4 linked regions of the Macaca fascicularis genome follow. The protein of the gene in region 3 interacts with the protein of the main gene of each other region in a biochemical or structural test. Links are inferred from orthologs where the notes say so. Each region holds a gene or a part of one and is shown on either strand. Other genes may lie near its edges.

What was found.
Region 1: the proteins of TJP2 (region 3) and CGN form a complex in vitro, tested with the Homo sapiens proteins (2 studies listed by BioGRID and IntAct, with this or other methods). The link is inferred for Macaca fascicularis from reciprocal best matches to the Homo sapiens genes TJP2 and CGN.
Region 2: the proteins of TJP2 (region 3) and OCLN form a complex in vitro, tested with the Homo sapiens proteins (3 studies listed by BioGRID). The link is inferred for Macaca fascicularis from reciprocal best matches to the Homo sapiens genes TJP2 and OCLN.
Region 4: the proteins of TJP2 (region 3) and CTNNA1 form a complex in vitro, tested with the Homo sapiens proteins (2 studies listed by BioGRID and IntAct, with this or other methods). The link is inferred for Macaca fascicularis from reciprocal best matches to the Homo sapiens genes TJP2 and CTNNA1.

What each region holds. Positions count from the first base shown.
Region 1 is NC_088375.1:109,675,364-109,683,022, forward strand, and holds part of CGN (cingulin), read right to left. Parts: intron 6,960-7,659; coding exon 6,750-6,959; intron 6,423-6,749; coding exon 6,216-6,422; intron 5,848-6,215; coding exon 5,590-5,847; intron 3,993-5,589; coding exon 3,822-3,992; intron 2,420-3,821; coding exon 2,258-2,419; intron 1,373-2,257; coding exon 1,283-1,372; intron 812-1,282; coding exon 728-811; intron 632-727; coding exon 513-631; intron 171-512; coding exon 62-170; intron 1-61. UniProt on the Homo sapiens protein: Probably plays a role in the formation and regulation of the tight junction (TJ) paracellular permeability barrier.
Region 2 is NC_088380.1:75,172,141-75,180,283, forward strand, and holds the start of OCLN (occludin), read left to right. Parts: upstream 1-4,001; 5' UTR 4,002-4,075; intron 4,076-4,214; exon of another isoform or gene 4,215-4,325; intron 4,326-6,270; exon of another isoform or gene 6,271-6,381; intron 6,382-8,143. UniProt on the Homo sapiens protein: May play a role in the formation and regulation of the tight junction (TJ) paracellular permeability barrier.
Region 3 is NC_088389.1:99,938,703-99,947,025, reverse strand, and holds the start of TJP2 (tight junction protein 2), read right to left. Parts: upstream 4,115-8,323; 5' UTR 4,108-4,114; coding exon 4,036-4,107; intron 1-4,035. UniProt on the Homo sapiens protein: Plays a role in tight junctions and adherens junctions. Acts as a positive regulator of RANKL-induced osteoclast differentiation, potentially via mediating downstream transcriptional activity.
Region 4 is NC_088380.1:145,424,056-145,431,714, reverse strand, and holds part of CTNNA1 (catenin alpha-1), read right to left. Parts: intron 6,960-7,659; coding exon 6,759-6,959; intron 6,196-6,758; coding exon 6,044-6,195; intron 2,397-6,043; exon of another isoform or gene 2,232-2,396; coding exon 2,121-2,231; exon of another isoform or gene 1,192-2,120; intron 1,032-1,191; coding exon 850-1,031; intron 683-849; coding exon 577-682; intron 1-576. UniProt on the Homo sapiens protein: Associates with the cytoplasmic domain of a variety of cadherins. The association of catenins to cadherins produces a complex which is linked to the actin filament network, and which seems to be of primary importance for cadherins cell-adhesion properties.

The sequences.
Region 1 (7,659 bases), on a different chromosome or scaffold from region 3:
AGGAAAACATATAATATATGCTTGCCCCGGGTTGCTTGGCCCCAGGGTGCCATGTCCTCACCTGGTCTTTCTGGTCATTGACATGCTGCCGCTCGTCTTCAATCTGGATGGATAGCTCTTTAACTTTCCGCTCCAGTTTTCGATTGGTAGACTGCAGAACTGTCTTCTCCCTAAGGTGAGATAGAAGAATGTCTATGAGTGACCCCATTTCTAAGGGAATCCTAACTTGGCCCCCTACTGTCCCCAAGGACTTCTCTCAGTCATGAGCCCCACCATTAGACTGGGCAGGATCCAGGGCAGATTCAAAGAACAAGGGAGAATGCGGTCATTCACATTTCAGAATTTCTGCAACTCTCTTTGCTCTCTACCAGGAGAAAACGTTCCCTAAAGATCAGGCCAGGTTGGCCACATCTGAGGTGGAAGATGGAGGGAGCCATAAAAGAGAAAAGCCAAGAAGGAGGGAGGAAGAAAAGGAGGGAGGGAGGGAGGGAGGAAGGATAGGCTTATGGCACCTCTCTTCAGCCTGTAGCCGCTCCTGCAACAACTGATTCTGGGACTCAAGCTGAGAGAGGCTGGCACTGGGCTTCTGGAAGCCTTCTGAGCTGGCCAACCGGGTCTTCAGGTCTTTGTTCTGAGAGAGATAGGAAGCCTCCACAGTTAGCACTCCACTGGCCACTTTACCCACCTCCTGGGGTCCATCCCTAAGAACCCTCCCCTCCCCACTCACCTGTCTCTCCAAGGAGATTTTGTCACACTCCAGGTCCTGCCGAGCAGACCTCTCCTGCAGGAGCTCTGTCCTCAGCTGATCTACCTAGTGGGGATGGGTGAGAGGACGAGACTTGGGGGGGGCTAAGGATGAACCAGCAAGCTGAACCAAGTGAGGCTGAGTCATGGGAGGATGGTCTCTGAACCCTGAATCCAAAAATTCCCAGGCAACTAAAAAAATCACAGCATATTCAAATGGGAGGAGCCAGAGAATGTAAACAGGGCCTCCTTCGTCCCACCAGGAACTAGTATCCCTTGTAAACTAAAGAAGCCCCAATTCAGGTCAGAGAGTAGCCCAGGCCACCAGGATCCCTTCCTCCACACAAATTATTGGCTTCTTTCCACCCAGGGAAACTGGTCAACCTTTCCCAAAGCAGACGAGACCCTGAAACAGACCCAGCCATGCACAGATTCGGCAGCCAGATGATGAAAGATGGGAGGGCAGAGTTGTTTTTGAGAGAACCAAGAGGTGATGTAGTCAGGGGTAAACAGAGATGAGGGATAAGGAGGGGGTTACCTGGTCCCGGCCACGATTCACCCGGTCTGTTAGCAGCTCCACAGTGTTCTTCTCCTCATCTAACTCTGCTTCCAGCCGTGAGACTTTTTCCTATGACGGAAGAACAAGTTAATTCTGTCCCAAATGCTGGACACCAGAATGCCAAACTCAGACCAGGAGCCTCTCAAACTCCCGCATTAACAGACTTTTCTCTCTTGCACATCCCCGTAACCTTTTGGTACTTGCCGGGGCCCAGAGCCACCATGGAGCCAGCGCCCTCTGCTGACCAGATGTGGCATCACGGGCAGGTCGGGGCCATGCTCTGGTCACTTTGACAGACAGGCAAATCTACTCTTCATTGGAAAACCCTATTTCTCTAATGGGGAAACAGAGAGAAACCCAAGTACCTGGGCCAAGGCTGAGATGAAGAGACTCAGAAACTGAGGCACTGGAGGCAGTACCATGTAGAGGCTAAGAGTATATACATGGGACCAGACTGTCCAGTCTGAAAATCAGATTTACTGCTTCCTAGACCATGGACAAGTTCATCGCTCTGTGCCTCAGTTTCCCTCATCTGTAAAATGGAGAAAACAAGACTACCTACCCCAGAGTTATTCTGAGGATTAAGTCTTAACTGCCTATCACACAGCACAATATGTTTGCTGCTGCTGTTATTATTATCAAATATAGCAAACTGAAGAATACTGTTCACTCTAAAGGGGAAACCCACTGCTCAGCTCCAGCCAACTGTTGCCATGCAGACTCAGGACAAGACACTAAGTATTACCGTATCTGCCAAATACAAAAGAAACTAGAAATCCAAATGTTTAGGTGACATCTATAAATTTCTAAACATTGGCAATTGATTCAAAGTTGTTTAAAATACTGCAGCCGAACAAAACTCATCAACTGTGGGCTGTCGGTTTTGACCGCTAGTACAGAAAGAGGCTTGGAAGTCCCACCCCTTTTCCACAGGTCACACCCCAGTGCCCTCACCTCGAGGCCCTTCAGCTGCCGGGCCCTGTCGTCCTGGGAGCGCTTCTTGTTCTCTGCCTCTTGCTCCAGCCCCTGCAATCGCTGGGCCAGTAGCTCTTTGTCCAGCCGGGCTGTGTCCCGCTCAGCCTGGGATGCCTGCAGGGCCTGCCGCAGCCTCTGGATCTAAGCAAGGGTAAAAATGCCACAGCTCAGTGTAGTAAAAAGGTGAAGGTTGAAGGGCAGGAGCAGTCCAGCCCAGTGGGCAGAAACATTTCATCACTGTCACTCTTTAGAATTACCAGTGGCATGGTGACAATAAAAAGCAGACTGACTTTTCATCCATTTTCTTTTCTTTTTCATTTTTTAGATGGAGTCTCATTCTGTCACCCAGGCTGGAGTACAGTGGCGCGATCTCGGCTTACTGCAATCTCCACCTCCCAGGTTCAAGTGATTATCCTGCCTCAGCCTCCCGAGTAGCTGGTACTACAGGCATGCGCCACCACGCTTGGCTAATGTTTTGTATTTTTAGTAGAGACAGGGTTTTACTGTGTTAGCCAAGAAGGTCTTGATCTCCTGACCTTGTGATCCGCCTGCCTCAGCCTCCCAAAGTGCTGGGATTACAGGCGTGAGCCACTGCACCTGCCCTCATTCATTTTCTTTATTGTTTCTGTTTTTGTTTTTTTTTTGAGACATGAAATCTCACTCTGTCGCCCAGGCTGGAGTGCAATGGCACGATCTCGGCTCACTGCAACCTCCACCTCCCAGGTTCAAGCAATTCTCCTGCCTCAGCCTCCTGAGTCGCTGGGATTACAGGCGCCCACTACGCTCGGCTAATTTTTGTATTTTTAGTAGAGATGGGGTTTCACTGTGTTGGCCAGGCTGGTCTCGAACACCTGATCTCATGATCTGCCCACCTCAGCCTCCCAAAGTGCTGGGATTACAGGCGTGAGCCACCATCCCCAGCTTCTTTATTGTTTTTAAAGTCTCTACACAACTTGGAATCACCTGAGGAGTTTTTTAAAATACTGATCCTGGATCCCATCCCCAGAGATGATGACTGAAGTGGTATGGAATACAGCTTGGGTGTGGAGATTTTTAAAAATCTCCCCAGGTGGCTCTAAGCCACAGAATTTGAAAATCACTGCTCTACAGACAATATATTCCTCCATGCTGCAAGTCATTAGACCTAAACCTGGGCCCCAGGGACCCTTGGTCACAGGTTCAGTTAAGAGGCAAGGATGGGGCCGGGCACAGTGGCTCACGCCTGTAATCCCAGCCCTGTGGGAGGCCAAGGCAGGCAGATCACGAGGTCAGGAGATCGAAACCATCCTGGCTAACACAGTGAAACCCTGTCTCTACTAAAAATACAAAAAAGTAGCCAGGTGTGGTGGCGGGCACCTGTAGTCCCAGCTACTCAGGAGGCTGAGGCAGGAGAATGGCGTGAACCCAGGAGTCGGAGCTTGCAGTGAGCTGAGATTGCGCCACGGCACTCCAGCCTGGGCGACAGAACGAGACTCCGTCTCAAAAAAAAAAAAAAAAAAAAAAGAAGCAAGGACCTTCAAACCCAAGGATATTAGGCTTCTACCTCATCCTGAAGCCGGCTCAGTCCCCCAGAGGTCTTCTCAGCCTCACTCGCCCAATCCTTGGCCTGGCGCTGGGCATCTGCCACCTCCCGCCGGGCCTTTTCCTTATAATCCTCCAGCTGGGCCTGGAGCTGCTGCAGGGCTTGCTTAGAGTCCTCCCCGATCTTCTCCAACTGAAACACAGAGAAAAGGGTCTTCAGCACTGTATATAAATGTCCCTCTCCAGGCCCAGACTCCCAAGACTCTCCCCCAAGGGTCTCCTTCCTGACAAGGTAGCCTTCTCTTGTTCTTTCCTGGACCTAGGTTCCTAGTATAGCTAATAGTTATATACAGATGTCTGGGTTCAAATCCTGGCTCTACCACTTACTAGTGACCATATGTAAGTTACTTATCTCTCTGGGTTTCCGTTCCCCAACTGTAAAATGGGATAAGAATAGTAGCTATATCACAAGGTGTTGTGAGAATTACGTTAGTTAATTATGTGAAGTTCTGTACTTACAACAGTGCCTGATACAAAGTAAGCCTTAAATGACCATTTCAGCAAACCCAAGGTGCCAATGATTATAAGACGTACAACTAAGAAAAATCTGCCAATTGAACTATAACATACCATAAGTTATAAGACACAACTCTATTTCAGAAATGATAAAATGTGCATTTTTTATTGACAAATGATAAAATGCGCACTTTAGAATTGATGTAATATATTACTTGTTTGTTCTTGTTTTACAAAAAGATTGGGAGGAGAACCTTAGCAGCAAAAGCAATTTATTTCCTTTTCTTTTTTCTTTCTTTTCTTCTTCCCCTCACCAAAATTTAAAATTCTACCAATGAAGATTTTTTTTGTTTGACAGGCTCTTGCTATATTGCAGTGGGGCAGTTATAGCCTGCTATATTGCAGGCTACAGCTCACTGCAGCCTCAACCTCCTGAGCTGAAGTAATCCTTCTACCTCAGCCTCCCGAGTAGCTGGGAATACAGATGTCTGGGTTCAAATCCTGGCTCTACCACTAATTAGCAACCATAGGCAAGTTACTTATCTTCTCTGGGTCTCAGTTCCTCACCTATAGAGAAACTGAGGCACAAGCCACCACACCTGGCTAATTTCTTTTTTTTTTTTTAAGTAGAGACAGAGTCTTACTATATTGCCCAAGCTGGCCAATGACAATTCTTGTATATAGGTTTTGTAGACTCCTAAGGGAGAATCCCAGGAGATGCTCTCCAAGAATGAAGACCATAAAGGAATGGGATGTGAGGGAAAGAGCAAAAACATGGAGGGGAGGTAGGAAGGATGCCCCTTCCAGAAGATTTGGTCTTGGTCTTCCTAACAATGTACTTGAGGAAAGCAAACATCACACATTCTTTTTTGTTGTTCTTAAGACAGAGTGTTGCTCTGTCACCCAGGCTGGAGTGCAGTGGTATGATCTTAGCTCACTGCAACCTCCGCCTTCCAGGCTGAAGTGATTCTCCTGCATCAGCCTCCTGAGTAGCTGGGACTACAGGCACGAGCCACCACGCCTGGCTAATTTTTTATATTTTTATTAGAGACAGAGTTTTGCTGTGTTGGCCAGGCTGGTCTCAAACTCCTGACCTCAGGTATCTGCCTACCTCAGCCTCTCAAAGAGCTGGAATTACAGGCGTGAGTCACCGCACCTGGCCATAAACATCACACATTCTGACTAACCCCTCTCCCCTAACCCCCTGTCCCCTCAGGCCAGCTTCTGGATGAGCTAGGCCTCTTCCTAAAGGCCCAGAATACCCCATGCCCCACCTCCTTGTTCAGTCGGTCCACAGTCCTATCCAGCAAACGCTTCTGCTCCTCCAGCTCAGCCTTGCCTCGCCGGAGCACCTCCCGCTGCTTCCCTTCCTCCTCCAGGGCCCGGTTCAGTGTCTGCTGCTCTTGCCCCAGGCGGGCCAGCCCCCGCTGAGCCTCCTCGAGGCGTGCCTCCAGTGCCCGCTTGGCTGCTGCCAGACTCCCTTCCTCTTCCTGGGACGCATTCAGGGCCTCCTCCAGTTGCTGTTTCTCTGCCTGGGAGGTAGGGAAGCAGGGTTGGACTGAAAAAAGGCAAAACTTGGGTTCAAGTTATTTGGAGGTGGGTAGCTGGACGGGAGAAAGGAGGTATTTATGCAAATGGTGCGCAATGAAAACAGGCTCCTAGCAAAGAAATCAGGATGCATACAGCAAGCAAAGGGTGAGAGATAAGAGACAAAAATACCAGTGCAAAGACTGGAACACTGGCGCCAAAGTATACTCCAGGAAATAGACCCAAGGTTAACAGAGGGTTTGGGGAGGCGAAACAGATGCACACTAAGAACAAAGTGAAACTGATGGCTGTTTAGCATAGGAGTATTTCACCAGGGTTGAGCAGAGAGGGCTGGGAGGGCAGAAGCACTGACCTCCAGCCGCTGCAGCTTGTCCCGTAGTCGTGCCTCCACCGCTTCCCCACCATCCACCAGACCTCGAGTCTCCTTCAGCTGCTGCTCCAAACCCAGGATGCGCCGGCGGAATTCGTCATTTTCCTCCTGGGTCTCCCGAAGCGTTGTCTCCACCGCGGCCCGCCGCTGCCCCAGCACTGCTGCCTCTGCCTCGGCCACCATCTTAGCCTAAGGACGGTTTAGGGGGTGGCAGCTCAGACCCCAGTGCTTGGGGCCATTGACCAAACCCAGGAAAGCCGTCCCAAAGACCGCCCATAAGAATGAGGCTTAAAGAAAGGAGCTGCCACCAGCCAGACGCTTCCCTGAAAATCCCACCCCTACAGAGATACAGGTGTCCTCCCCCTGCCAAATCCTGGCTTCTTTGAACCACACACCTAGGACCCAGGAACTGGTCAGTACATACCCATGACAGGTAACTTTCCACACCCTCTGGCTCCTCAGCCCTCCAGACACCCTCAGCCTCCACCTCCTAAGCCCTGTGCCCACTCCCCTTGCCTTGGAAGCCTCTTCACAGTCCTGTCGCAGTTGCTGGAGGGTCTTTTGTAGCTGGAGGTTCTGTTCTTCCAGCTCCCGACCTCGATCAGCCTCAACCCTCAGGACTGCCAGCTGCTTCTCCAACTCCCGGTCCCGGTGTCGCCCAGCCACCTCCTGGCTCTGCCGTTCTGCCTGCAGTTCCTTAAGCTCCTCCTGTGTCTGGAGCAGCTCCTGGAAGGAAAGGGGAGGTGATGGGGCACCTAGAGCCAGACTAAGATACCTGAATGTGGAGAAGCTGAAACTCTCACACACTGCCAGGGGGAATGAAAAATGATGTGGCCACTTCAGAAAGTAGTTCGGCAGTTTCTCAAAAAGTTAAACACAGATTTACCACTTATATCACCAGCAATTCCACTCTTAGGTAACCCAAGAAAACTGAAAATGTGTGTTCACACAAAAACTTATACATACGTGAATGTTCATAGTAGCATTATTCATTATAGCCCAAATGTATAAACAACCCAGATGTCCATGAATTGATGACTGGACTAAACATGGTACACCCACAGAGTGGAATATTATTCAGCCATAAAAAAGGAATAAAGTACTTGGCCAGGCGCAGTGGCTCACGCCTGTAATCCCAACACTTTGGAAGGCCGAGGCGGGTGGATCATGAGGTCATGACTGAGACCATCCTGGCGAACACGGTGAAACCCCGTCTCTACTGAAAATACAAAAAAATTAGCCAGGCATGGTGGCGGGCGCCTGTAGTCCCAGCTTCTAGGGAGGCTAAGGCAGGAGAATGGTGTGAACCTGGGAGGCAGCAGAGCTTGCAGTGAGCGGAGATCGCACCACTGCACTCCAGCCTGGGCAACAGAGTGAGACTCCATCTCAAAAAAAAAAAAAAAAAAAAGGAATGAAGTACTCATAC
Region 2 (8,143 bases), on a different chromosome or scaffold from region 3:
CTCCCCAAAAATAGAAAAAAAATAAAAAAACCCCATAAAACTGCCAGGCATGGTGGCTCATCCCTGTAATCCCAGTGCTTTGAGAGGCCAAGGCATGGGTATCACCTGAGGTCAGGAGTTCGAGACCAGCCTGACCAACAAGGTGAAACCCCCGTCTCTACTAAAAATACAAAAATTAGCCAGTCGTGGTGGCAGGTGCCTGTAGTCGCAGCTATTCGGGAGGCCGAGGTAGGAGAATCATTTGAGCCTGGGAGGCGGAGGTTACAGTGAGCCGATCACACCACTGCACTCCAGCCTGGGCTACAGATGAGACTCCGTTTCAAAACAAACAAACAGAAAACCAAAAAACACTTAACATAGTACTTATAACATGTTTTTCCCTGAGTAAATGGTGCTATTGTTATTCTTCCACCTGTTGAAGTTCCTGCTCAGGTGCTGAGTCTCTTTGTTTAAATGTGGATTCCTCCCAGGAGGATCTTGCTTAACACATAGGAATTGAGGAGATAAAGGTTTACTCATCTAGTGTAATCATCCTTTTAGAAATTGTCTTCCTAGTGGCTGCCCCATAAATTCTTCCATACACCTGTCCAAGGAAACTCTCCTGTGTGGACCAGGAGCCTCCCTCTTCATAATTGGGCAGAGATACCAGAGGCCTTTCAGGCCAGGCCCTCAGCAACTCCAAACTGAGTTGCCTTGGACACATACCAGTGCTTGAATTCATTTACTAAGTAGGCAAGGCAGAGTGGAAACCGTGGAACTATTTTAATCTCCCGTCTTTTCCCCTCTAAACCCTAGTACTAGAATGTAAGCCTTGAAATGCTACTAAGGAATGTGCAGGTTTCACAATGGCAGGAGGCCATCTGAGAGGAGGACAAGATTCCACAGGTACGTTGGATTTGGGAAACAGGGCTATAGTCGTTCATTCATTCATCCAACACAAAGTTATAGAATTCCTATTTCAGGCAGATAGGATACAGCAATGGCTTGTTAAATTTATTGAGACTTGTTTCATGGCTCAGCATATAGACTGTCTTGGTGAATGTTCCACATTCCCACCAACAGACTTATAAAGATAGTATTGTTTATTATCATCTCAAATTTACGGTGGAAAAAAATGAGGCTTATGTAGTTTAATTTCCTTTAGTCCTACCCAGCTACCAGGTAGCAACACTGGAATTTCAAATGAAATTTCTGACACCATAATCTGAGCTCTTAAGTTTCTCTTTTACACATAAAAAAGGAGAAAAAAAATTGTTTTTTCATCTTATCATCCATTTGACTGCAGGTAAAGTCAACAAGCTTCTAATCATGGGGTTCTTCTGAGAATAATATTTACATTGCTCTGAGTCATGGGGATTTTCATTAAGTAATATCCAATAGTGGATACTACTCAATACTAATGTGAGTTGCCAAGAAGGAATATTTGGTAACAATATAGTAGTTAAATTTTGCTATAATTTATGATTATGTAAATTTTAGATTAAATTGAGCATGGCATCATTTAACATCCAACAAATTTTGTTTTGGTATTGAAGAATGATGTGTTTAAGTTTTAAGGCTGGATTTTTCTTTCTAGACACTTTCAACTACCAAATATATACAATATTGGGCAATAGTTAACTGTTCTTTTGATGCTGTGTTGTTTAGAAAATTAATCTCAAGCGAATAAAATAGAATTCATATATTTCAACTTAATGAATCCTATTATTCCATATGGATGAACTCAGAACTAACTAGAAAGTAAGTTTCACAGAGATTTTTGAGTTTTGTTCACTCATGTGTACAGAGCACTCAGAAAATAGTTGAAGGAATGAATTGGGAAAGCAAATAAAATATGAAAGCTAACCTTCTACCCAACACAACATGTCTTTGAGTTTAGGTTTAGGGTGGGAATAAGCAAAATAACATGATATGCATAAATTATTATCTTAAAATGATAAAAAGTTTAATTTAAAAACCTAATTTACCAAGAGAACTGAAAACATACATCCACAAAAAAACTTGTACACAAATATTCATAGTAACATTATTCACAGCATCCCCAAAGGAAAAACAACCCAAATGTTCATCAACAGATGAATGATTAAACAAAATGTGATACATCGATACAACGGAATATTATTCAGTTATAAAAAGGAACGAAGTACTGATACATACTACAACATGGATGAACCTTTAAAACATTATGCTAAGTGAAAGAAGACAGACACAAAGGGCACATATTGTATTATCCATTCATATAAAATGTCCAGAACAGGCAAATTAATAGAGACAGAAAGTACATTAGTGGTTGCCGAGGGATGAGGGGAGAGGGGAAATGGAGAGTGACTATTAATGGGCATGGGGTTTCTTTTGGGGGTGATTAAAATGGAATTAGATGGTGGTGATGGTTGTACAATCTGGTGAGTATACTAAAACCCACTGAATTGTACGTGCCCTTTAAAAGGGTGAATTTTATGGTATGTGAACTCTTTTATAAAGTGGAAAAAAACTCCTAAGATCTCCTCTTCAGAACATATCAAAATACATTATAAAATAATGGACATGTGTTTACAAATCTGAGAGTATTAGGAAATGTTCCCTTGTTTAATTATAAACCAAGTGGAATGTTTGGAGATTTCAGTAATCTGACAGGGAACATTAAGAGGATTAACCTGACTTCCCCAGTGTTAACAATACCAATTTAAACTGCATCATTCAAAAACTACATAGTCATATTAAAGCATTTGTGGCAATGACTTCCACGAAAAAAATACCAATTAAATTAATTACTCATTAAAGCTGTCATCATCTGAAATACCTCATATTTACATGGTGCTTTTACTTCCTTAAGTATGAATTGTGCCTTAAGATCTAATGTATGGGAGAGTCACATCTCCAACCATTTAATTAAAGGTAGAGAAGTGGGTGGGATTGGATAGAAATTTATTAGCAATGCTGACATTCCAGATTGGAACGCAAAGACAAGCAGGATTTAAGAAACCTAACAGTTCGCTTTCAATGCAGGTAGTTAAATGCCAAGAACTATAATTACCTCATCCTGGAGTACAATTTAAAAATATGTTCAAAAACAACAAACATACATAAAAACATACACAGTGTTAAGTGCAGACTATGAAATTTCCTTTGGAACCATAATCCAGATCAAGAAATAGAATACAGCACCCAGGACTAAGGTGCTTTTTCGTTTTCTTAAAAAAATAAACAAATAAACCAGGTTTATTTTGCTTTTTAAGTAGGGTTCTTAAAGCACTACAGGTTGGTAAACAAAGTATAAGGTGCTTTTTCTTAGGCCAAAGAGCCATAATAGTTTAAATCTCCCCGTCCCCAAGAGCGGACCAGTTACATTTCGGAACGGGTGGGCAGGGGAGGACCCTGAGGTGGTGATGTGTAAACTGTGTATTATGCACTTTAGCTTGCTGGACGGCAACTAACAGCTACAGTAGTTCACCCTCATTTTATCCCCACTAAGTAACTGTCTTATTTCTGAATCTAGAGATTCAGAAATAGCGCCAATATTTACACACGAGTTTTGAAATTTTCCCAGGAGTCTTTCGTGGGAGCAACACATCTAGATGCCTTTTTCCAGCAACAGTTCAATCAAATTTTGGAAGCAGAAAAGTGTCCCGAGAGGACGTGCCTTTCCTATCAAAGTGCTTAGTGCCTAGACCCTTTCCGGAGGAAACAGTCCCCTCCGGACCTCGTTCGACGTCTCTCCGTCAGACACCCAAGGTTCCATGTGAAGCAGGCGGAGCACCAAACGCACCCCTAGGTGGTCCAGGACCCCCATGCGTGCTGCCCCCTGGGAGCCCGCGCTGCTCCTCTGCGCTCCGCCCCTCCGGCCGGAACATCGCGCGGTTCCTTTAACAGCGCGCTGGCAGGGTGTGGGAAGCAGGGCTGCGTCCTCCCGCCCCCTCCCATCCGAGTTTCAGGTGAATGGGTCACCGAGGGAGGAGGCCAACACACCACACCTACACTCCCGCGCCCACCTCTCCCTCCCTGCTTCCTCCGGCGGAGGCGGCAAGAACCGAGAGCTAGGGCCAGAGCGCCGAGGAGCCCGTCCGGGACGCAGCAGGTGGGTCTCTCGGGGCTGGCCCGCAGGCTTCCCGCACCCCCCTCCACGTTGGTGCGCATGCCCGGGGGCAGGGCCGGTTGTAGGGAGAAGGGGGAGGAGGGGAAGGAGAGAGAGGAGGGGGAGGAGACGTCCCCAGCCCAGTCCCTGGCTGCGCGCTGGCGGTCGGCGCGGCGTCAGGTGCGCCCGCCAGGTGAGCGCGCTCACTGGCTCGGTTGGCCCCCGGAGGGTCGGGCCCAGGTGCGGCCAGTGGGTGAGTGTTGGGCGCGGCGTCAGGGGCGCACGGGAGCCCCCAGGGTCCCCGTGGGGGGACCGCGGCGCCTCTGTTAGGGGAGGTGCGGGGGGGAGGACGCTCCGCGCTGGTTTCGGTGGCAGTTTCGTCCCCGGGCTGGGACTCGTGGGAACCGGAGAGGCGCGGGTCTGCGGAGAGAGCAGCACCGGCCAACTTGGGAGGCTGCCTCCCCGGGCAAGGGGCGGCTTGGAGCCGCCGATCAAGCTTTATTCCGCGGAGACGCTTAAAGCTAGCAGTGCCTCAGCGGCGCGGGCAACTTTTCACTTTTATGAGGCAGGACATTCCTGAACAGCGACGATCCTGCATCAGCTCTGGGGCTGCAGTTTTGGGGGGCGGCCCTCATGGAGAGGGGTCCTGCGCCCAGCTCGTTGGGGGTCCTAAGCTTGAGGCTGCAGCGAGAGACTGCTTGCTGGTCCGAGCCGCTTAGATCCCGGGGGGAATTTCATCCCTTCCGCTCCCACCCCACCCCACTCCTTTGGGTATCCCGGGGAGACGGGGGCTGGATTCAGTCTGAAATATTCCGGGAGTCACGGTGTGGGCCACACTGGCTACTTGGAATCCACTTGTTGGGAGTTGTGTGAACCCGCGCCGATTTAAGCTGGGGTTCACGGAGTTAATTTCGAGGGAAGCTGCTCACGCTTGGGATTCTCACCCGTGACCAAAAGGGCTGCCGCCAGGGGGGCGGAACTGCCTCCGGGCGGTGCCTGCCCAGCGAAAGCGGGCGCGCGCTGCCCGGGAGCACCTCGGGGCGCACGGACGCCGGGACCCGCGCCCAGCCGGGCCACGGAGTTTGGGGACCTCCGGGACTGGGCCGGCCTCGCACGCCAGCCATGTTGCCTGCGTGGAAGGAAGCTTGCGGGGAGCGGGGGTCAAGGGCCAAGATGGCCTCTGCGCCTACGGGTTGGAGGCCACAGGGCCCGAGGGGAAAACCGCGGCATCCTCAGGCCGGACCCGGGGCTTGCTGGCTACACTGCCCGCTTGGGGAATTATCCCGGGCGAGGAGGCGGCAGCTTTCTAGGCCAGTTAGTGTGTGGCCCTTAGGCAACAGGTGTATTATTGGAATACCTGGAAAAGAGAAACGCTTCCCATGAAGGCACTTATGGTGATTTAGAAAACTAGGCATTCCCAAGTGTAACAATAGTTCTTTTGCACTGTACGTATGAGTCTTTCTTTTGTTTTTATTATTATTATTATTATTTGCTTTTTTGAGACGGAGTCCGACTGTGTCTCCCAGTGGCGTGATCTGGGCTCACTGCAACCTCTGCCTCCCGGGTTCAAGTGATTCTCCTGCTCAGCCTTCCGAGTAGCTGGGATTGCAGGCACCCACTAGTATGCACGGCTAATTTTTGTATTTTTAGTAGAGACGGAGTTTTGCCATGTTGGTCAGGCTGATCTCGAACTGCTGACCTCAGGTGATCCACCCGCCTCGGCCTCCCAAAGTGCTGGGATTACAGGCAGGAGCCACCACGCCCAGCCTTTATGAATATTTTCTTAGTGGTGCTTTTTGAGTGTGTGGGGGCGGCACAGATATTTCCTCAAACAAAGCAACACTTTTTTTTTTTTTTGTCGTTTTGCAATATTTAGTTATTAGGGGCCTCCTTTGTTAGGTGATGGAGCGGAGGATAGGGAGGTCGTTAAGACATGATTCTCCACCTTTTGGCAGCTTCCAGGCCATTTCGGGAAATAATGGGCAGTGTCTCCTGCACGTGAGGCACAGTGCTAAAAGCATTCTGTATTTTCTCATTTAATTATCCCAACAACTCTAAAAGGCAGACCTTAGTAGAACTCCGTTTTAAAAGCGGGCATATGCTGTGGGGGAAACGTGTTGCGTGGGCTTGCTTGCAAACTGCTTCAGCTAATCTGGGAAGGAATATCAGAAGCAGCGGTCCTTGATATTCCAGAACCAGATTTGGGGGATATTTCTGGACCTTTGTACCATTGACTAGTACCTGTAGCCTGATACAAGATTTCCCGCATTTTGCTTGATGTCATGGTAAAATTCTTTTTTCTTCTAAAGGTAATGTTGGAATTACTGCCTTTCCAAAATAATAGATTACTTTTAACCACATAAATGATCTGATGTAATATCTTTCACCTTCCCAGGAACGTCCCAGAAGGAAGTTTTCTTCAGTTGCATTTTAAGGCTTATTTGATTGGAATATCAGTGGATCTTTTTCATCAAATTACTATTTATAGAAATAGAGTAAACAGACCATGTAGATTTCTGTTAGGCTTTTCGTTTTAACCCCTAAGCTTGCCGCTGTTCCGTAACCCAGTGATTGCAGTCTTGGCTGTAGTATGAATCACTTAGGGATCTTGTTAAAACACAGATTCTGATTGGGAGGTCAGGAGTGGGACCTGGGATTCTGCCTTTCTAACAGGCTCACAGGTGATTCTCAGACTGTTCTGTCCTCTTTTTCTCCCTTTCTCTTAGACTCTACTCAATTACATTTGAACACTGAAGTTGGAAGTAAAGGAAAAAAAAATAGGTTTATTGGGTGTTGATTGGGTGTTGTGTGAAGAACTTCAAGGCATTCACTGCTGGATTGAAATCCCAACTCTAACAATTGACGTGGTTTTATTAATTGAGTACTCATTGACAATCACTTTGTGCCAGGGCTAGTTTCAGGGACCAGGGATATAAATGATGGTCAAAATAGACATTCGATGCCTGGGATGGAGGCATTCCAGATGGGGTGGAGATAATACCTAAAATAATTTTAGGTATGAGGGCAGAGGGGAGTTTGCTCTGAAAAAACAAGTTTTGTGTGATGGAGTGAGGGACTGGGAGGGCATCTCCCAGAAGGTGGCATCTGAGCTGAGATGTGAACAGCAGGTGTCTGCTGTGTAAAAGATCTGGGCTTTCTAGACAGGAAATTGTAAGATCAATGTCCTTTTTGGATTGACACCATTACTGTAAACAGCAATTCTCAAAATACGTGGTGTGTTAAAAAATCACTTGGAAGGTTTATTAAAAATACAATTTCTGACACAGTCTATTACAAAATCTGCCTAACTTCAAATTTTTAGACAATTTAATGATGTGCCTATAATCTAAATCATTTAATATAAGGCACAACTTAAACTTTTTAAAGACAAACTGACAGTTACTGCTTGTGCCCTAAAAGGAACAGACTTCTCTTAAATATGTTTATTTTTCACTTATTGAAAGTTTTCTTTAAAGAATAATTTGAGGGCAAAGCATTTTCAGTCTATTTTTTTCTACTATATATATATATATATATATATTTTTTTTTTTTTTTTTAAAGATGGAGACGGAGTCTCTGTTGTCCAGCCTGATCTTGAAGTTCTGGGCTCAAACAATCCCTCTGCCTTGACTTCCCAAAGTACTGGGATTACAAGTGTGAGCCACCTCACCCAGCCTCAGCCTGTTTTTTTTCATCTTAGCTTAGTTTTCCATTAAGATAGCTTTTGGTCAGTAAACATTGTCAAGGGGAGAATGCTTTTTATATATTATCATTAGCTCAAGATGCTGGTTTTCAGATTAACATATTTGACAAGGATCTGCTGCTTCCCTTTTGCCCCTGACTCTCATTTAGCTATCTGACTTCTGTCCTTGTCACTCTTGACATAAGTTCATGTAGTTAATAAGTGGTCTCTTCATTCCTCATTTTATTTTTTCCTTCACTCAACACATGTACAGATTGTTAATGTTGCTGTGCTGGGCATTGGTCCTCTTTCACCTTTGGCTGCCGGCCTTAAAGCACAGTCACAGATTCACTTTGAAATTTCAGAGACCTTAGAAGTCCTCCAGTCTG
Region 3 (8,323 bases):
GAAGGAAGGAAGGAAGGAAGGAAGGAAGGAGGGAAGGAGGGAAGGAGGGAAGGAGGGAAGGAGGGAAGGAGGGAAGGAGGGAGGGAGGGAGGGAGGGAGGGAGGGAGGGAAGGGGGGAAGGAGGGAGGGAGGGAGGGAAAAAGAAAGCAGACACTCAACTGAACTCCTGCAGTAAATCGGAATTGGTTGCCCTTTTCCATTTCCATAGAACACCTTACTAACTCCTTACCAACTTCAGTTTTAGATGTGGCCTTAGTAAAACCAAGCCACTACCACCCAGAAATGACCTCATGAGCATGCCCACTTCTCCAAGCTCATCTTCTCAATGCCTTCTTATACCTTAAAGCTGTCAACTTTCAACAAAGTGAACTAATCTAGAAGTTGTGGTAAAATAAATATATTTGCCAACTCTTCTTTGGATATAGTCATAGCCACATGAATTAAAGGGAAAAAAAATCACATAGCACCCTCCCCACAAAACTTACTTTAAAATTATCAGGAAAAAACCTAACTGGGACTATGACAATCATCCCCAGGATTGGGCAATGCTACATACCAAAAAAAAAAGCTCAATATCCCAAGGAGCTGTGCTATTACAGAGAATATTTTTATGAGTACATTACTTTTAAAAATACTTTTCTATTTTAGAATTTAAAACTACAAACTCTTCAAAGTTTTGGATTTAAATTTATCATTTAGCCAAATAAATGAGTTCCTGCAAAATTTTATTTTTTAAATGTGGCTCAAGTAGAATGAATCTGGCTTTTGAAATTCACAGCCCTTCAACAACAGGATGACAGTATCTTTAAGTGTTCCTGCGCTGCCTGCAAGGGTAATTTAAATTAAATTTGTCAGAGAGGATTAATCTCCTACCACCACCACCACCAATCAGACCTTGCTATTAACTTGCCTGGTGCCTGAAACCAATCAGATCGCGAGGCTTCTTCTTACCTACGGTCAACAGGTAGTAAAATTAACCATTAGCTACTTAATGTAATATTCAAAGAACATATGCTCTGCTAAGCCAAGTGATAAACAGAAAATCTTAATTGTAAAGGTAGGGAACTAGAGTAAAAGTAAATTTTTGCAGCTCTGTTGAGCATTAAAAATACACCATAACTATGTATATTTAGCCTACAGAACTGTGACTTTTTGGGAAAGTCTCACAGAAAACTCTTCATTATTCATTCATTTGTTCATTTATGCAAAAACACTGATTAAGCATCCACTTTCTGCCGAGCACATGGTTTGTGGCACTTCAGGCACATCAGCGAATAAAACCGCCAAAGCCCTTGGGCAGTTTACCAAAGAGCAAACTACTGAGTGTCTTTCCTGCCTCATTTATATAATTTTTCAGAAACATAGAGCACCCCACATAATCATCCTTATTCCTCAGAACATCAGCTCTGGGAACATCCCTGGGCACAGGCTGCCAGGGTGCAGCAGCTTAGCTGGGAGCTGTGGTCATGACATTCAAACTAGGCCACCGGGCTCTGGTCCCGCCCAACTTGTGCTTGGCTATGCGCAGATCAGACTTGCTAGCAATAACTGACGTTTCTCTGAATGACAGCAGGTAGCTGCTTAGCACGAGGGGGAGCTTTACAGGCAGGCCCATAGAGACAGCACACATACATCAGAATTAAAGGCATGCACATTCCACGACCCAGTCATTCCTCTACCCAGGCAGAGGCCCCCAGAAAACTGTGTGACTATATGCACAAGGACACATGTATATTCACAGCAGCAATGTTCCCAACGGCCAAAACCTGGAAAATATCCCAGTATCTCTCAAGGGCAGGATGGACAAATTGATACATTATTAAAATACAATGTTATATTGCAATGAAGACAGACAAACCAGTCACACAGACCACCACAAAAGGGATGCATCTCAAACATAAAGTTGAGTGAAAAACACCCCAGAAGGATTTGTAGAGTATGATACCATTTTTATACAGCTCAAAAAACAATGTTTTACAACTTGAATAACTTTACACTACTGAACTGTACATTTACAAATGGTAAAGACAGTAAATTTTGTTATGCATTTTCGCTACAGAAAAAAATTGCCAACAAAATTAATCTATTATTTAGGGGTGTGTGTTTGTGTGTATGTGTATGTGTGTGCGCGCGTACGCACCCATGCAGTGAAAATATAAAGAAAAAGCAAGGAAATGAAAAACATAACATTCAGGATGAGGTGACCTGGGCAGGAGGCAGAGTGTGGTGGGAGGTACACAAATTTCCCTTGTGTTTTGTTTTGGTAACGGTCTGCAGATATGTGTAATGGGCTCATGGCATTTGTTTATTATGCTTCATGATTTAGATATTTAATTCTTTTAGAGTACCAAACATTTCATAAGTTTAAAAGAATAGGGAGATGAGGCCGGGCCAGGCGCAGTGGCTCATGCCTGTAATCCCAGCACTTTGGGAGGCCGAGATAGGTGGATCACAAGGTCAGGAGACCGGGACCGTACTGGCTAACACAGTGAAACCCCATCTCTACTAAAAATACAAAAAATTAGCTGGGCGTAGTGGTGGGCACCTGTAGTCCCAGCTACTCGGGAGGCTGAGGCAGGAGAATGGCGTGAACCTGGGAGGCTGAGCTTGCAGTGAGCCGAGATCGCACCACTGCACTCCAGCCTGGGCAACAGAGCGAGACTCCGTCTCAAAAAATAAATAAATAAAATAAATAAATAAATAAAAAATAGGGAGATGAGTGGGTGAACATCAAAGTGAATACTCACTCCTGGTGAAGGATCTAGGTATCCAAGAGGTACAGGTATACTTAACAGCAAATTTTTCAATGCAGTTAGAATTTTGCAAAGTGAAGAGGGTACAATAATTTCAACTGGAAGGAGAGCAAGTTGAGGGATGGTACCAGTAATTTGAAAGGGGCAAGGGGGGTGAAGCAAGGCAGGTGCGGTGGGCAGGGTGGGGACACAGGTGTTAGGTCTGGGGAGCTGTGGGGGGAGGTGCACGCAGAAAACGCTAAATCGCCTTCTTAATCCAAGTGTCAACATTCTATCCATCAGGAGGATCTTCAATGTGCTTTCATCATCTTTCCTTATCACTTTTACTTTTCATGTAAGTAGTGTTCATGACAACCCCCTTTATATCATAACAGGCTTCTTAGACCTCATGGAAAGTTAAAAGTAAGCTAACTCTTCTACCATAAACAAAAAACTTAATGCATTAACAGTAAGGTTTTTGTGTGACAAAATAAGAGAAAGGAACTAAGGCAAATAGTTATTTGTTGTGCTTTTTTTAATCTACTTTTTATAAAGCTTTTTTCCTTTGAAAAATCTTGGCCAGACAGGTTAAAATCCTATATATTTTACATAAAAAATGTAGAAACGTGTTAAAAGCCAACCCTAAAACAGATACCGAAGTGTTCACTGCCCAAAGTCCCCCTGAGCAGGCGGCTTTTAGATTCTATATCCATGGACTGCTGCTGCCCAGTGATGGAGGTCAAAGCTAAAACCAAAGATTAATTGAAAGCTGTCCACATAAGAGACACGCTTCGTAAGTCTCAAGTCATAAAAGTAAACACTCACACATGTTCAAACCACAAGGAAAAAAAGAACATGTGAAAAACACTTTTTCTTCTTCTAAGTTAGAAGCCTAGACATAGTAAGAATATAGATTTCTGCAACATAAGAAAGCAAAAAGTTTTATGCCAAAACAAGAAATTCTCATACATGAACAAACACAAAAGCCAGTATGTTAAGCTCTACCCAGGAAGCAAAACCATTACAGATTCCGAGCACATGGACAACAGCAGCCTTTGATCCACAGATCCAGTAAGAGGCTATAAGTTTCACACAGATGTGCTAAAATCAATACAAGTATTTTTTTTAAAAAACCACCAGTGACTAGCTACAACCTACAATCTCACAATTTGTTGCTGAAAGATGCCAGAAGCACAAACACATCTGAGGATAAAGGAGTTACTGAGAGAATGGTTTTGCTTCCCTCCCCTTCCCATGAAGAAAGGTTGGGGAAAACAAGGGGAGAGCTTGCAGAGGGACTCACACGGCCTTTCCATCTCCCCAACTTTTTAACAGCCTGGATCCACATCCTACGCAGGGCTTGAGCAGTCTTCATGGTCTCTGGAGATGCATGGGCCAGGCCACCGCCTACATCCCGGGCTGCTCACCCATTTCCATCACTCCACGTGGTTACGTAAGGCGGATACAATAGTGGCCCACATTTCCAGCAAATCCTGTTGTCATCTCACACAGTGACACATCCATACGGCAGGGATGCCAAACGCTTTGAAAAGCACTACTTATGAGCAAAAAAGAAAGCAGTTCGGATTTGCACCACTTTCACAGCTTTTTTCTTCTCCCTCTCTCTCCCTTGCCAGGGAACTAGAGCATCCGAGTAGATATTTCTTTTAGGCACATAAAATGATTCACCATCTAAGTTGACAGTATTAAGTAAATGAGACATTTTAGAGCAACACTATGGAAAAGAATAGTTAGAGAAGTATTTATGTATACAGTATAGACCCTCTGATACACACACACACACAAGCCAGCCAGAAATAAACTAGCAATGTTTCAGGTCAACTGAATGGCTAATGTTACATAGAAATTAAAAGGCATGAAAAGAAAACATTTTATATCCTTGGAGATAACAAGGGGGAGATAAGACTCGATCATTTGGTGCTGCTCAGGGACAACTCAGGGACAGAAGGCTTGCTCAGCAAAGTTCCACTATCTAACCTTTTTGGAAACTTAGCAGATAAAAGAATAACAAAGAACCCTGCCATCTGTTTCTTTGTCTTTACCACCTGGGGAGAAGGGAGGGGTGGAGAAGCAAATTTTAGGTTTCTGAACATCTAGCAAAGATTTTATGGGATGCTTGGGGCTTGGGAGCTGGGGTTGGGATTTCAGAAGCCTGGTCTTGGGGAGCCTCTGGCCAATTCTTGCTACCATGGTGTATGTTATATGCCAATGGGTTGAGTCAAATAGCTTGCAAATGGCAAATGTGCCATCTGATTTGAGGCTGAGATGTATATAAATCTGGACCATGAGATGGCCACCATCTAGGAAACAAGGCGAAGCAGAGCCAAGGAAGTGATTTTTAAAGTCACAAGATCTGGAGTGAGATCCTTGTCCTGTCACTTAGCTGTGGGGCACTGGATATACTATACCCTTCTTTATACAGTGGCGATAAAACCATCTACACCTCAGAAGGGCAATGTCAGCAAGAAACAAGGCAATCTCCACAAAGCACTCGTGCTGGTGCTGGACAGGCACTGGGAAATGTGTGTGTCCTTTCCTAAGGGTCTATGACAGTAAGTTCTCAGTTGAGTTCTTAGTAAGTGTTATGACAGTTAAATGAGATCAAAAGTGAATAAAAGTTTGTTTCAAATCCTACACTTTGCCAGGTACAGTTGCTCATGCCTGTAATCCTAGCACTCTGGGAGGTCGAGATGCGCAGATCGCCTGAGCCCAGAAGTTCGAGAGCAGCCTGGCCAACATGGTGAAACCCCATCTCTACTAAAAACAGAAAAATTAGCTGGGCATGGTGGTGCACACCTGCAGTCCCAGCTACTTGGGAGGCTGAGGTAGGAGGATCACCTGAGCCCAGGAGGCGGAGGTTGCAGTGACCTGAGATCGGGCTGCTGCATTCCAGCCTGGGCCACAGAACGAGACCCTGTCTCAAAAATATATATATATATCCAGGCTGGTGCAGTGGCTCATGCCTATAATCCCAGCATTCTGGGAGGCTGAGGTGGGAGGATCACCTGAGGTCAGGAATTCAAGACCAGTCTGGCCAACATGTTGAAACCTCGTCTCTACTAAAAATGCAAAAAAAAAAAAAAAAAAAAAAAAAATCCAGGCATATTGGCAGGTGCCTGTAATCCCAGCTACTCTGGAGACTGAGGCAGGAGAATCGCTTGAACCCTGCAGTGAGCCAAGATCCCACCACTGCACTCCAGCCTAGGTGACAAGAGCGAAACTCTGCCTCAAAAATAATAATAATAATAATAATAAATCCTACAAGCGAAGAGGGCAGTGGGTACAAAGGAGGACCTTGGAATCTAAGCAAGTGTCCAAACCTTAACCTAGGCTGTGCAGACATGTGCAGGCTCTGTACATACCAGCCAGGTTCAGCCTATGGACTGGCTCACTAGGCCCCACGTGCAGAGGAGCCTGACAACCCAGGCAATTCGGGGAGGGTTCAGGCCAGCTCACTCCTTCACTCTGACAGTCCTAAGGAAAACACCTGAGCTTACCCTGATGCAGAAATAAATACTTCTTTCCCTTAAGTTCACGCATATTACCCAGAAGTCAGAGATGTCCTAGAATTTAAGAATTCCAGATTCTTCTACAGTGATCTCCAGAGGTCATAGTTTCTAGCAACACTAAATCTTTTTTATTTTTAATTGTGCTGAAAAATATATAACCTAAAATTTATTATCTTAACCATTTCTAAGTACAGTTAGGTTTGAACAGCAAGGTTTGAACTGCCCTGGTTCACTTATCCATGGGTTTTTTTCAGTAAAAGCTATACAGAGTGTGCCTGCCTCCCCTGCCTCCCCTTCACCTCCTCCACCTCTTCCGCCAGGGCACAGCAGGACCAAACCCTCCTCTTCCTCAGCCTACTCAACATGGAGACAATCAGGATGAAGTCCTTTAGGATGATCCACTTCCACTTAGTGTAATAAATGTATTTTCCTTCCCTAGCTTACTTTATTGTGAGAAAACAGTATATAATACATATAGCATATAAAATGTGTTAATTGTTTATGTTATGGTAAGGTTTCTGGTAAACAGCAGGTTATTGGTTTAGTTTTTAGGGAGTCAAAAGTTATACATGGATTTTTGACTGTGTGAGGGTCGGCACTCCTAACCTCTCACTTTTCAAGGGTATACAGTGTAGCAGTTGCTAAGGTTTCAATTTATGTGTCTCACCAAAACTCACATGCTGGAACCTAAGACCCAATGCGATAGTGTTAAGGGGTGGGGCTTTTAGGAAGTGATTAAGAGGGCTCCAACCTCATGAATGGGATTCATGCTCTTACAAAAGGGCTAGAGGGACCTAGCTAGACCCCCTTGCTCTTCTACCTCTTCTGTCATGTGAGGATACAGCAACTGCCATCTTGGAAGCAGAGAGCTGCCCTCACCAGATGCCAAATCTGCTGTTGCCTTGATCTTATTAAACTTCCCAGCCAAAACTGTGGGCAAATAAATTTCTGGGTTTTTTTAAATTTCCCAGTTACAGGAGTAGGAATTGACTAGGACAGTAGTATATTCACACTTCAGAATATACTGAACTTAAGAACTCTTCATCTTGCAAAACCAAAACTCTTGCCTATCAAACAACTCCCCATTTCCCTCTCCCCACAGCTCCTGACAACCACCATTCTGTTTTGTGATTCTACAAATTTGACTACAACAGACACATCATATAAGTGGACTCACACAGGATTTGTCTTCCTGTGATTGGCTTACTTCACATGGCATAATGTCCTCAAGGTTCGTCTAGGCGCTGGTGTATGTCAGAAGTTCCTCCCTTTTTAAGGCTGAATAATATTCCATTGTATGTATATGACTTATTTTATTTATCCATTCATCTGTCAACAGACACTTGGGTTACTTTCACCTCTTGGCTATAGTGAAAAATGCTACCATGAATATGGGTATGCAAATATGCCATCACTAATTCTTTACTCATTCATTCAACAAATGCCGACCAAGTGCATTGTGCTCTGAGGGACAAATGAAGTGCAAAACAAAGCACTGCCCTCAGGAAGCTTTGCAGGAGCCAGCATCTGATCAAAGCAGGTTGGCCAGGGAGGGTTTCCATGAGCCAGGGACACCGACATGAGGTCTGAAGGAAAAGACAGGATTGGAGGGGTGGGGAGAAGGGTTTGTTCAGGGTCCAAAGAACAGCGCAGGGCAAAGACCTGACAAAGAAAAGGGGGAGGGGACAGTAGAAGATGGCCATCAGAACATAAGAACAATTGCAGCCTGCTCCAACCAGCACTTGTTCTACCACTGGCATCAGAAGGACATTTTGTGGTGGACAGCTGCCTCCACGAGCAGAGCTTATGGGTTGAAGGATGTGCCTTCTCAAAGATTCCTAGCTTCCATACTCATAGATCCAAGAGTAACCATGCACCTGGCCCTGTGGACGGAAAGACAAATCACCCCAAGTCCTGACGCTAAGGAAGTCACACAGCCCAGTGGGGAGGCGGGGTGTGTAAACAAGCAATTACAACTCAGTGCAAGTACAAGAGCGGACCAAGAGGCTCATTCATTCGACATATACTCCCTGAGTACTTACACCATGTCAGATGCTGCCA
Region 4 (7,659 bases), on a different chromosome or scaffold from region 3:
GACGTCTCACACATCCTGTGGCCTAGATGAGGCTGAGAGTTTTGATATTTCAGGGAAGATGGTGGGGAGGTTTGTTAACTACAGAGAAAAACTATAACTGAGAAAGAGCCTCTCTTGATCAGGCTTAAAACACCAAATCAAACATATTGTACATTTCCAGGTGATATGAACCATATTTTTGTACCTATCACAGTGTGAGGGAATAGGGGGATGACGGCAGGGTGACTAAGAGCCACAGTGCTGAGGATGAAGAAACCTGGCCCCATCTGGGCACACCATCCTTCCACAGCACTGGCCACATGGCTTCTGGCTGCCCTCAGCCCCTGCCCAGAGAGGGAACTGAGACATAATAGACAACAGCAGAGGTTAATTTGGCTACAAGTGACGGAAGATTCCAGGACATCCACATCTGCTCTAGAGAATCCTTACGAATCTATGCTGGGATTAATAAGAACCATTTTTAGAGATGGGTGGCAAAAGTGCTGTGGCCCATGAAACTTACCCTGAATGGACCAGGCTGGGCTGCCTGAGTCCCAGAAGGAGCTTGGAGACCCACCTGGCAGGTCTGTCACTTACGTGATTTGCGATGGTGCGGCCAAGCCTGTCCATCCTGGATCCTGCCTCAGCAATTTTCTTGGCAGCACTGATGACATCTGACGTATTTTTGAGTGGTCCTTTACCTCTGAGAAGAGAGAACAAGGATCATTGTATGCGAAGCCCCTCACAGTTGGAGATGAGTAGAAAACAGATGTCCACAAAGCCCCATGGCCTGGGCTGTCTAAGCCGCTGTGCAGGTGACCTAAAGAAAGTGGCCCCTGTGCAGCCTGGTGGGGCCAGGGTGCTGCTCACCGGGTGAAGTCAGTCATCTCCATCATAATCATGCACATCTGCTTGGCCAGCACAATGATGTCATTGCCACTGTCATCCCATTTGGACACTTCAGCATCCAGCTTGCTCTTTTCTTCCTGGAAGCTGGCCACCTGTTCCGCAATCTTCGCTTTTTGCTCCTGGGGAAGCTGAGCCATGATCGCCTGTGATCAGAAGCACAAAGAGCTCTTACATAAAAAGAATATGAAGTTCTCAGAGTGCATTAGCCAAGAATATTTCCAACAGGCAATCTATGGCATAGGTAGGATAATGCTTTAACAGATTTCATTTTGCCTAAAGGGCTATTTCTCTCATTTTTTGCAGACACTTACAGCAGCCTGAATTTCCGACCCACTTTCGAGCACAAGTTTTAGTGTGGAAGCAAACAGCGAGGGGTGGAAGGCTAATGCGGAAGCTTTGGAATCACAACTGTGCAGGGACAGAACCTGCTTTTTAATTCTTTAATATAAGACAAGAAATGAGAGAAAGGGTTGATGAAAGTGTGGAACCCTTTCCCTGGTGGACATTTCCAGCTATTCAAGGTGAACTGAAAGTGGCTTCAGAATGTACACCTGAAGAAAGAGGGCTGAGCACTAAGGCCATACTCGAGCAGCACCTGGAGGCCTGCTGCCCACCTCCAGCCCACAGACCTGCGGCTGAAGCTCCTCCCTCTCAGCTTCCCAAAGTGCTCATGACGGAGCAGGACATAAGGCAGCGATGTGCTCGCTGTTCATGACAGATTTCCAAGGAGTGAAATCAAAGACTCCTTAGAAATATTTCTTGGCATCCTCCCCAAAACATAAATGCTATTGATTGAAGATTTAATGACTCAAATGAATGCAATGGCTCTGACTGGCTTTCTTGAATGTACCACTGTTATTTTTTTAAACCCATGAATAATTAAATAGTTCATACCCATGGCATCACTGAGATGGCTAAAGGCAGCAATCTTTTTCAAATTTCACGATCCTTTCAACAAACACTGCATTGACTAAATTTCAGCCCTTTCCTGACCCAGGGCTCTATCGTAAACCAAAGCCCCAGGGCACTGCAGAGGAGGCCCAGGACCTGGTCTGTCTCTAGCTGAGGAGGCTACAAGTGACTAGCAGGTGCCACAACTTAGTTTAACTTCAGTCTACTGCCAGAGAGAGAGAAATGGTGTTCTGAATACTGAGGGTGTTTTCCTGGAAACAAGAAAGGGGACAGGGAAGGTGGCAGCACAAGCTGAACTGCCCCACAGAGCGCTTCCTTACCCGGGCACTCTGGCCAGCTATCAGCTGATCGTCTTCTGTCTGGACGCTTGTCCTACTTCTGACATCGAAATCTTCTGTCTCAAAGTCAGAGTCATCCAACTCCTCAGGGGTCTGCCACCAAGACAGAGATCACAAGTCAGACACATCTCTGGGTCACAGGCCACCAGCCCCCAGCCACCCTGAGCCTCTTGGCCAGGTGCACGGAGGCCCAGAATTCTGGATTTTAATGTGCAGTGTTCTGAACAGTATGATGAATAAAGTCACAATCACTCAGCATTTGTCTCGAGCCTCTGCTTCACTGCTGCACGCGCTGGGCTGCCTGGCCCACAGCAGGCCTGCGCTGGCTTCACTGTGTGTGGGGCTCAATGGCTATCACTGAGTCAATTCACTATTTCTTTATAAGACATAAGGTTGTTTTTTTTCCTTTGAGACAGAGTCTCGCTCTGTCACCCAGGCTGGAGTGCAGTGGCGTGATCTTGGAATCAATGCAACCTCCATCTCCCGGGTTCAAGTGATTCACCTGCCTCAGCCTCCGAGTGGCTGGGATTAGAGGCAACACGCCACCACGTCCGGCTAATTTTTGTATTTTTAGTAGAGACGGGATTCCACCATGCTGGCCAGGCTGCTCTTGAACTTCTGACCTCAGGTGATCCACCCCTGCCTTGGGCTCCCAAAATGCTGGGTGGGATTACAGGCGTGAACCACCGTGCCCGGCGACATAAGGTTTTTACTTCCTAATTTACTTCCCCAACACCTGTATTTTAAAGACAAAGATGAGAACTGTCCTGGATAGAAAAGGTACTGACTTAAAAATAGAGGTGTTTTGTATAGTATTAAGCAGATTTGTTTAACTTTCCTACTTTATGACAAAAAGAAAATTAAATAACTGAGCCTTCTGTTAGGGTACCAAGGCTGCTTGGAGGAGTAAAAATAGGCAATTTTAAAGTATTCTTTTGACTTTCATCAAAAGAAAAGAAGGGAGAATATGACAGGTAAGGGCTGAGTAAATACCCAAGGGACTGATTACTCGTCCTAGCTCTTTGCTTTAATTATGAAATAAAATTCTTATTTTGTACCAACTACCAGCCTCTCATGATTAGCTACTGACTTGAAACATAATGTTGTCCTCTGGCAGTTATCAGTAAGGGGGCAGCAGGCAGAACAGCTGGGGTTGGCGCTCGGCCCAGCCGGCTGGCCTGTGACAGGAGGGCAGTGAGGCGAGTCCCTCATCTGTACCAGGATCTAGTCCAAGCGCAGCCCAAGGACTTGCTGTGAGGTTCAAACAAGAAGATATGCAAGAAACATTCCGGAGCCACCAAGAGCGTGCTGCGCAAAGGCTGGGCCTGTCCCTTGATGAGGTAAGGAGTGGATGCTCACTCAGGTGGCACCAGACAGCATGTCCGCGTGAGGTCCTGGAGGCCGACGGACTTGGTGACACAAAACACAATGCCAGCACTGACGGTTTTAACACTGCAGTCACACATGCCTTCGGGACTGGCATGCAATCAGTTAAGGGGCTTTTCAAAGGACCACCTCCTAACATCATCTCTGCCTTCCCAGGACCCCATCGCAGACCCAAGAACCGTTCTTGCCAAGAAAACCGAGTACTCTCATTCATTCATTCATTCATTCATTCTCTCTCTGCCAAGCATTCTGGGCCCTAGAGATACAAAGTGACAGACAGATAAAAATTCCTCTCATGCCTATTCTAATGGAAGAAATGGCAACAAAGTAAGCAAATGAATTATATGACACATCAAAAGTGGCCAGTGTATAAAGAAAGCAGAGAGGAATAAAGCGAGGTTTTAACTCCATGCGGGTGTTAGGAAAAGTCTGATGAGAAGGTGCTCTCGAGGGGTAGGCGGGGCGGGCGGCAGCATTGAGGCTGTGGGGAAGGGGCGTTGGCCCAGGGAACTGCGTGAATAGCAAGGAGGCCACAGAAGGGGGGCTTAGCTCACTGCCCCTATGTCACCGGCTTGCCTGGAACCCCATGAGCACAAGGGGAGATCAGCAGGAGATGAGGTTGGAGAAGTGACAGGTTCTAGTCCTAGAAAGCCTTGTAGGCCAGCATAAAGAATGACGTGGCTGCCTGTAGAGAGGATGGCACAGAGGATAGCATGATCTGACTGAAGCTTAGAGAAATCGCTCTGGCTGCCCTGTGGCTCATGAGACTGTAGGCACCCAGGATTGGAACGGGGAACCAGCTGAGTGGCACCTGCATGAACCCGGGTGAGAGGTGCTGGCGGCTTGGACGAGGGTGAGAACATGTTCAGGTTCTCTACTGTGAAGGGAGAGCCAAAAGAATTCACAGATAAAGCGGATGTGGGGTATGGGACAAAAGGGAAATAAAAGATCCGAGGTCTGCGCATGAGCAAGGGAAGACGGAGTCACTATCAACATGTGCTGCCTGGGTGGAGCAAGTGAGAGGGAGGAGGCAAGGTGCACAGGCAAGTGTGGAACTTAGGAGAGTCGGCCTCTAGACAGGACTCTGAAGAGGCCAAGGACTTCCCAGCAGGCCACACCCATGTTTCACAGGCTGAGGAGATGGGGAGAAACCAGCCAAGGAGACTGAGTAGGGGTGTGGGTCAAGAGATTTTTTCCCCCTTAAAAATGGGAGAAATCATCATAGGCTTGGGGAAAGGTACAGAAGGCAGGGGGTGAAGAAGCTGGGACCCCAGTACAAGGACATGCAAGGGACGGCCTCAGCCAGAAGCACCAACAGCAATGCCCATAGTCCTAGGAGGAAGGCAGAGCACACAGGCATGGATGCAGCGGGGTGGCCGTACTAACTGCCTCAGTATCCTCAATGAAATCGGCAAGAGGGCCAAATAGCACAGGGGCACAGGTGTGGGTGGGTGGACGGGCACCTGTTGCAGGGCAGCAAGGGCCCACAAATGGCCGCGGCTTCTGCGGCTCCGTCGGCGTGGCTGTGGCCATCTGCACTGTGCTCAGGAGAGCAGGATCTTGCTAAGACTGCACCTTGCAAGGCAAGTGTAAGGAAACAGCTGGGCAGAGGAGTGAGAATATTCAACTATGGACTCAAAGCTGAAAAAAGACTGAACCAAGGACACAAGGGGCTGAGTGAGTGTCAAACAGGGAGGACCAACTGACTGAAGACCCCACAGTGGACTCAAAAGGCTCGCTGGGAGTTGCAGGACTCAAGGGCGCAACCTCAACAATAGAACCGGGCTGCTGGGAATGACAAAGACAATGGCAGGCAGTGACAAAAGCTGAGGTACGGCTATGGCCACGAGGCTGAGGTGGAGGAGGACAAGACATCAAGAAACTGAGATGCCCAGGGGCTGGAAGGATAATTCTTGAATGAAGACAGGAATAGTGTCAGAGAGCAGGACGGTAAGCCGGGAGCTCAACCACAGATGCCGCAGAGGCCCGTTTCTCCTCTGCCCTTGCTACAGGCCCTCCAGGCATTCTGGCTATGGGGAAAGGGGTTCAGCACTTGGCCATGAGCCTAGGAGCATCACCTGGGGCCACTTCTCCCCGCAACACCCTGGGGTTCCATCATCCTGTCTGCCTGCAGCCTCTCCGAAGAGAGGGGCACTCCATGTGAACAGTAACTTGAATCTGCATTACGAAAAGACTTCCTTCTCTGATACTAGCTTGAGAACCATTATTTTCTATAATTTCCTGCCTAACTCAAACTGAAGCCTCATGTTGTAGAGACTGTTTATCCTAAATTAAATCGTCAACTCAGGCTAGCTCCTCTTCTTGGCCCAAGTTTGGGCTCTAACTTGCAACTAACAGTCATTTTAGACAACATAATTAAATATATCTCATTCTAACAGATTTTAGATTCATGGTTTTAATATACTGCTACCGCATCTGCCGAGTTCTAGAATGACGCATTGCTCAAGTTTAGCAAATGATAAGAAAGAAGCTGTTAAGTCTGAAATGCAGTTACTCACCCTTATCATCAGCACTGCTTTCCTGATGTCCCGGATACCATCATATACCAGGCGGGAGGCATCGATAAACTCATTCTCATCCATTGGCTGGGCAGGGTCCGAGCTGAGGGCTTCCACGGCCGCCTCTACTTGCTCAGTAAAACGTGGCATGACTGTGGAGAAAGGGGCACAGCAGATGTCCTGGTATGCAGGCAGCATCATTCCCCTGACCCTCCCTGAATCACTCAGCTAGACAGAAAGAGGTGAGGCTTATGATGAAGAGCCTCTGCTTCTATCTATGTGAGGAGTATTTATGGTTGAAATAAATGCAGTATTTTACAACAACTCAACAACTCAAATCATCTTTTTCTCTGCAACAGAGGGATTGGATGGTTGAGGGATTGGATGGTTGAGAACTTGGAAGTGAGACTAACTTGAAGCCTTGCTTAAGAATAGGACCTCAGGTTAATAGTTTAACCTGAGGTTAAACTCAGAAATTCATCTTAAATAGTGTGTTTAGAATTAGTCCCATGATTACTCATGAGATACACATGAAGAAAATATGCTTGTGAGGCCTGAATTTGGCTATGACCAACTTCTCAGGAGCCCAATGTGCCATGAGACCAAATCTGAGTTCCCGACTCCTCCTTCCTCACCACAGGGCTGGGCTAATCGGGTGGCCTGCCCTACTCAGGTTGCAGTGTGTGCGAGCACTGAAAAGCTAGAGTTCCCGTACCTGTGTTGGAGAGAAGCTTAGTGGCTTCCAGAACCTTCTCTGTGTAGACTCCAGGCTCATAGTTGTCCATCTCTGAGGTGACTACGTGAATGACCCGGGCTGCCCGGCCTCGAATTGCACCAGCTGTGCGGTCCAGGCCATCCACATCCTTCTCCTGGAGAGCAATGACACATTTGTTCACATCTTCCAAAATGTGATTCTCTGGAGAACAAGCAAAAAGCTGAATGAGGAAGGAGGCCTTCTATGAGAAGGTGGCAACTGTAAGCTGGCATCTATCATTTATTGTTTGCTTGGTGCCAGCCACAGTGCTGAAAGCTTTACATATATTTCATTGGAGAGACCAGTGACTAGTGACAGAGACAGAAACTAAACCTGTTATCACCCTCAAGAATAACAATCTTCATTCCAGGCTTTAAAAATAAAACAAAATAAAACAAAAAACAGGAGACATGCCCATCTTTGAGACACAGTTGTTCTGTAAGCCTGGCAGAAAATCACAGAAGCATCAATAACTTCTCTTCCTCTAGCTTCACTGACCCTGTGTCCCAAATAAAGGAAAGGCTAAATTAGAACAAAAGTCCACTGTCCGCTCTCCCTCTCCCTCCAGGAGATGCTGATGATATTCAGACAATCTACCAAGAAGCCAGTACAGCCCAGGGATAGGAGAAGGTGCTGGAAAGCAGGTTGAAGCCTCCTCTAGAGGAGCCTGAGGCATGAGATGAACTATTTAATAACCCTCTTCATGGTACACAGATGGGCTTATTGTGATATTTGAAGGGTCCCTAGAGGTGAAAACCCCTGACTCCTATGAAGCTGATGGGTGGCTCCTAACAGTCACACAGCTGAATTTGGGCAAAACACCACAACTATTTTTCCTCAAAGGAAAAAGCCTGACACTATA